Linked DNA regions of Danio rerio. The protein of the gene in region 1 purifies or fractionates together with the protein of each later gene. This does not show direct contact. Links are inferred from orthologs where the notes say so. Each region holds a gene or a part of one and is shown in the gene's direction. Other genes may lie near its edges.

The links. Proteins that work in one complex are often made in the same cells at the same time.
Region 2: the proteins of xpo1b (region 1) and nup62l purify together in Homo sapiens (affinity purification with western blotting; 4 studies listed by BioGRID and IntAct, with this or other methods). This does not show direct contact. The link is inferred for Danio rerio from reciprocal best matches to the Homo sapiens genes XPO1 and NUP62.

Annotation. Positions count from the first base shown.
Region 1 is NC_133192.1:25,333,340-25,336,520, forward strand, and holds part of xpo1b (exportin-1), read left to right. Parts: coding exon 1-35; intron 36-1,111; coding exon 1,112-1,280; intron 1,281-1,368; coding exon 1,369-1,503; intron 1,504-1,804; coding exon 1,805-1,964; intron 1,965-2,321; coding exon 2,322-2,418; intron 2,419-3,181. UniProt on the Homo sapiens protein: Mediates the nuclear export of cellular proteins (cargos) bearing a leucine-rich nuclear export signal (NES) and of RNAs.
Region 2 is NC_133189.1:11,208,241-11,211,900, forward strand, and holds part of nup62l (nucleoporin 62 like), read left to right. Parts: intron 1-2,882; exon of another isoform or gene 2,883-2,952; coding exon 2,953-3,057; intron 3,058-3,660. UniProt on the Homo sapiens protein: Essential component of the nuclear pore complex. The N-terminal is probably involved in nucleocytoplasmic transport.

The DNA of each region.
Region 1 (3,181 bases):
CAGTGTTTGAGTGCACATTAAACATGATCAACAAAGTAAGCTGCATTTGTTTATCCATCACTATTATGAAATAAATATTTAATAGTACATTGTCATTTATTATTAAAGCCAGATTGCATCATACTTCTTATATTCATGTTTGTTGTTCAGTCCCTCCAGAATTTTGAATCTAGTGGTTCTTGAGATCAAAAATATACAAATTGTAAAATGTTTGTGTATTTTCAAAGCATAACACAAGAATTGAAGTGCACAATGTCATACGTTTTGAGAAAGCATCACAAAATCTGTCATTTTACGCCACAAATATAAAAATAATTTTCCCAGCAAAATCCTCGAGGGGCAGATTGTGTCCCACATTGAATTGCATTATATTCCTTTTTTACCTGGGTTTATGTACATTCACTTACAATAAATTACGGTATCACTTTATTTTGATGGTCCCTTAAACGCATTTTGTTGAATTGAACAAACATTGCATCTACATGCCAGTTAATTCTCATTAGATTATAAGTAGACTGTTAGGTAAGGGTTAGTTTAAGTTGATATGTACTTGCAAAGTTTTTATAGTCAGTTTAATGTCTGTTGAAACAGCAGTATCAACTGATATTAAGCAGACAGTCTACTAATACTCAAATAAGAAATGATTGTCATGTGGTTGCAATGCAACTTTGTCAACAAAATGTGCAATAGGGACCATAAAAATAAAGCCTTACCTAAATTAATTCCTAAATCATAAAGAGACTTTCAATATTTGATCAAATGTTTTTTTTTTTTTTTGCAAAAACCATTTTGCTTAAAGATAAAAAAAACCTTTAATACTAGTACTAATATTTATGAATGGATAAATTAATTTATTATTCGCTTTTTTACGATTCGCTTTTCATCAAACACATTTTATTAAACTTTTAACACTAGTACTATTACTTTATTTATTAATTTATAATGAAATGCATAAGATTTTACCAGAAATTAATAAATGTTTATCACGTAAAAAGAAAATTATTAAATGATGTAAAAAGGGAAAATATTATATAATATAGTCCCCATTTATTTTCCATGATATAAAAAATAAACAACTAAATAACTAGTATACATTTATATTTTTGTTTAGGATTTTGAAGAGTACCCAGAGCACCGGACGCATTTCTTCTACCTGCTTCAGGCGGTGAACTCTCACTGTTTCCCTGCATTCTTGGCCATACCCCCAGCCCAGTTTAAGCTTGTGCTGGACTCCATTATATGGGCTTTTAAACACACTATGAGAAATGTGGCAGACACTGGTGAGAACACTGATATCTTATGTACCGTAATGCCTAACTGATAAACCATAATCATTAAGCATAACATACAATGTGAAATGTCCTGCAGGCCTGCAGATCCTCTACACTCTGCTGCAGAATGTGGCTCAGGAGGAGGCAGCGGCTCAGAGCTTCTATCAGACATACTTCTGTGACATCCTTCAACACATCTTCTCTGTCGTCACGGACACGTCACACACAGCCGGTCAGCTCCTATCACTTGCTCCTTAAAACACTCTATTAATTATTTTAAATCATTGCAAGCCTGAAATAGTTTATACCCCTGGCAAATTTTGACTTAAAATTACTTTACAGAAGCGACATGGGCTTCTCCTAAAAGACAATAGGACTATGTACAAGAGGCATCAAATTCTCAGCTTTTATTCACATTCGAACAAAAGCTTTAGGTCAGAATTTGCTTGGGTATGAATAATTTCAGGCTTGACTCTAGTTTTTATAATTCAGTTCTTATATATGTCATTTTTTTTTTTGCATTAAAACTTTAGGTTTAACTATGCACGCATCAATATTAGCGTACATGTTTAACCTCGTCGAGGAAGGAAAAATCAGTACAACTCTGAACCCATCAAACCCAGTCAACAACCAAGTGTTCATCCAGGAGTATGTGGCCAACTTGCTTAAATCAGCTTTCCCACACTTACAAGAGTGAGTATCCCACAATGCACCTGAGCTGATGCTTCACAAACCTGCATCTTTTGAAAAAGGAATACTAATGCGTTGGGTTTAGAAGGACCCAAGTACTATACAGATTTTCAGAGCATTAGGAGGTTAATAATAAAATCAGTGTCAGTAAATCCACTAACTGCAGTTGTTTTGGTGATAATTGCATTTGGTTGAATGTCATGCAACACATCTCTCAGGTAAAAGCTTGTTTGTTCTCAGTAGACATCTTGCTGTGAGATTAATTAATACAGTTTTAGTTCTGCAGCAACAGTCTGCAAACTGTTCATGTCTAGTTTCATTTCCAATCTGACTGTATGATTGTTTTCTTCCTCTTTGTAGTGCCCAGGTAAAAGTATTTGTGACTGGCCTGTTCAGTTTAAACCAAGACATCGCAGCATTCAAGGAGCACTTGAGGGATTTCCTTGTACAGATCAAGGTGAGCTGCAAACCAGTTGAGAGCCTTAATAATCTCTAAATAAATTGGGTTGCCTTTAATACAATGTCAGTAGTAATGACGTATTTGAGCAGATGATAGATGAGGGTGTGAGTGGAGGAAATGGAGATGGTGTGAGGAAGCAAGTGTGCTGTAACTTTGACCTTTTAAGAGACCATGAAGGGTGGTGAAACTGTATGGGTCAGCTGAAGTGCATGGGAACAGAGTGTGTGTGTGTGTGTATACGTACATGTTTTTATATCCTGAGCGTTATTGTAGAAAATTGAAATCAAGAAAGCCAGGATAACAGAAGAAGCATGGCTTGACCTAGTTTAATTAGGTCCTCTAGGCTTAGTCCATTGCACATTTGCTTATCCAGGATGAGAACAAGCCGCTATGTCAAACCTGATGTTGATAGCCAGGATGTGTGGACATTCACGCACATGTTAACAGATTACAGGATCGATTACAGAATCAATGGTAACAAATATTGATAAAACCTGATGTGAGTTAAAAAATGCCTCTATTGTCCACCAATCTGGAAACTCCCGTTGTCTGTTTATTTTATTGTATTAAGTTTATTTAATCTTTATCAGTATAATCATTTATCTATCATTTCCATTTATACTTTTTTTCTTCATAATTGAGACTATTTAATCTTTTATTTGAGGTTTCATCAAAAAAAAAAACTATATAATAATAATAATAATAAGTAATACAAAAAAGATATGTAAAACGCATTCATTTCTAGTAGCATTGACATTAA
Region 2 (3,660 bases), on another chromosome or scaffold:
GCTGATGACGTAATTCTTTCTGCGCGAATGGTGTGCTCAGTGGTATACAATTACATATTTTGACAGGCAGGTATGACAGCCTATCGTAATGTTCGGACCTAACATTTTGATTGGACAAGCTTTTCTTTTAATAAATTTATATTATAATCAGTTATAGGACTTGACATTAACATCCGCCAACCTGCCAAATGTGGATAGATTTCAGCTGTGGTGGATTAGATCGCCACTCCCGCTAGCGACTTTGGCTGGTTGAACATGATTTTTAAATTGCTAGTGCTGGCTCGTCTCTAAATTTAGAATTTTAATTTATAATTTGTCAATATGCATGCAGATGTGATCTTAAATCGAGAAGCAGCATGACTTAATTGTTCGTGCATGCAAAAGAAAGCAAGTCAATATGAGATATTCAGGCGCACAGTTAGACACAGGAGATCCTTACTCACTAATGAGGGCTTTAGTGTTGGTCGCACAGTTGATGTGATGCGCGAGTGCTTAAAAGCTCCCGTGTCCCGTTTCCTTGCATGAAGCAACCATGCCTGAAAACAAAACTGGTGCGATCGGTTCTCTTTGAAATAGACTGGGTAAAAAAAAGCAATGCTCGTGCACCCACAGTCCTGCTGCTTTTTGAGATTTTTTATTAAATTTTAAACTTTAGTTGATGTGTAATGTAGCTGTGCAAACATAAACAACATTTCTAAATGTATTTTGCTCAAAGTTCAGTGTAAAGGGAGACGTTAGCTTTTACAGAGTTAGCTTAGCATAGCCTACAGCGAACGAAGTTTGAGGACTAAAAAAAAAGCATCCGGGTTAATGAAGTCATAAACCCTTCAGGTTACACACAAACACCCCGTCCAGCGAAGAGAAATCCAAATGTTTTCTGACTGCAATGGTAAATGGCCAATTTTACAATCTGACAGATTTATTAGCTGTTAACTTTTGTCTGAAATGTTGTAAAACAGTTTTATGCCTGGATTTTATAAATAGCCTTGCATCTACTAACACGCACTGTATTTGAAGTCTTTGGAAGTGATTAGCGTTTTTCTCCTGTAGAAAAAAATCTCATAAAAATAACGCTAAGCGGCTCAATGTATTACATCAGTGTTCTAAAAGACTAAACACTTTATTGATATAATATTCAACCAAGCACATGTGGTCAGAACACAAACGAGTCCTAGGTGATGAAGGTAAAAGTGTTTCTCCCCAAGAAAAGCCCGTCTAAACAAAATGCTAGCAGGCATCTGTAGCTCCGCTCATGCTCCAACTCTTTTCCCTTGTTGGGTATCCCCTGGTCAGTGCGATAATGCGTGAACAAAATAGCGACGCTTGGCCATACGGCGCCTACTTGTAGCTTCTTTTGCGCTCTTCAGAAACCTATGATTATGTCATGGATACTATGTCCATATTTTTTGGTCTATGGTTGAAACAGACGTTTCTTGGTGATGTGATCTGCAAATTACTAAACATTGTTAGCTGACCAATCAGAGCCTCTTAAAATAAAATACACTCTGGACTACCCCTTTAATAGAAGATTGACTCTCCATATACTCAGCCAGGACCGATTACTGTGTATAGTTTTAGATAAATTAGATTTTTTATTTTTTTTTAAATGTCAGTTGTTTTTTTTAAAGAACATTTTTGTTGAATAATAAGTGCATTGCTATATTTTGCTCATTTTTACACATTATTTAAAATTTGTGGCAAGGAAATAATTAGTTTGGTGTGGCCAGAGAAAAGTGTTGAGCGCTAAAACGTCATGTAAAATGCAACAATATGAAACCCTAACACATTTGCTCATCCTCATTGAGCAAAGTCACAACACTCAAAAAATGAGGAGGCATGTGGACATAATACATAATATAAATCAAGTAATTTTAGGATGCCAAAATCAAATTTATGCATAGAAAAACTATTTTCCCAACAACAAAACTGTGGCTAGTAAAAATGCCAAATGGCTAGTAACGTACAGCAGTTTAGTTTAGTACGCTGGTCAGATAATAAAATGGTGAATTGTTTAATTGTGGGTGGGCCGCAGGTAGATAATATAAACATGTTTTAAGCATTTTTTTATATGACAGACTGGCACAAATATGCGGATTATATGTGGCCAGACTTCCAAAGACAGATGCTGGGGTTAGTAATGTTTATCATAGTTGCATAATTAATGCTAATGTCACTGAAACCAGATGATATAAAACCATGATTAAATGCTCTTGAACCCCTTTTTCAGTTCAAGTCTACATCAGAATTGTTTGTAAAAATGATACATAATGGACATGGAGATGAAGTTAGACAAAATTAATACAATTATCAGAATTTCCTCATAACTAAAGCTAATTGGTGCTTATGTTGTGTGCATTGATGCTCAACACAATCTGTGAATCTCAAAAGAAGTCAAGGTTCTAATGAACCTTTAAAACAGGCATCACTAAACTTGTTTCTGGAGGGCCGGTGTCCTGCAGATTTGAGCTCCAACCCTAATCAAACACACCTGAACAAGCTAATCAAGGTCCTACTAGGTATACTTGAAACATCCAGGCAGTAGTGTTGAGGCAAGTTGGAGCTAAACCCTGCAGGACACCGGCCCTCCAGAAGCAAGATTGGTGACCCCTGCTTTAAAACAAAGAATTAGAATAAGCTAATTATTGTGATGATCGCTATATCAGCGAAAACTGTAGGTGCGGCTGGCATTTGGGAATTTGTATAAATTCACAATACTAATGTGAATACATTTGGACCACTTGATTTAATGATTGCTATTAGGATGTGAAGAAACTTTCAACCAGCGTTACTCAGTTTGATCTGAAGACAATCGCCTATTGCACCTTTAGTAATTGTAATAGTAATTGTAATAATTCTTTCAATGATGACAAAAGATGTGGCAGTGCTGCTATCATGTCAGATGACTGTTTAGAAAATGGCATGAGATCACATGAGCTGTTCTGTTTCTTTCAGTGGGCTCCTCGACGGCATCAGTGGCCCCTGTCATGACCTCAGGATCCAGTGCTCCAGCAAGCCTGTCACTGAAACCTCTAGGAGCTGTTCCTGCTATAACCACAGGTACCCACACTTATTTTCATACACCGATTTATTTTTTTCAGTGGGTTTACATACATCAAAGGTAAAAAAAAAATAGTTAATGATATACATTGTAGCATTTTTATCACATTAAACTAGGGTTGTTCTGATTATAGAATTGAAAATACTCGCTTATACTGCAAACATTCTGGTATCGGTGAATATTTGAAACCATACAGTGATCCATCTGTTTTAAATGAGACATATGCCTGCTAGCTTTGCTTAACACTGCAAACCTGGAGTCAGTTCTTGCTTAGAATGCAAACAAAGGAATTTGTGCTTTGTTGCCACAACAGCCACTGTTAGAGCAGAGAAGAAGAGAGCAACAGACTATTTTATTTTTATAGATTTCTGAATTTTAAGCTTTAAAGAAATTATTTTTCACATTTATTTTTATATTTTATTTTTTTTTTTCATTTTATAAAGTTACACTGTAAAAAACTTTTCAGTTTATGTTTGATTTGTAGCTGAACTTGTTTCAGTAAAGTACCGTGAATAATAACACTGTTGAATGTCTGATAATTAAAATGACAGATAATGAAAATACACTAGTTCACTGTATGTATTTGTTCATGTTTTGTTAAG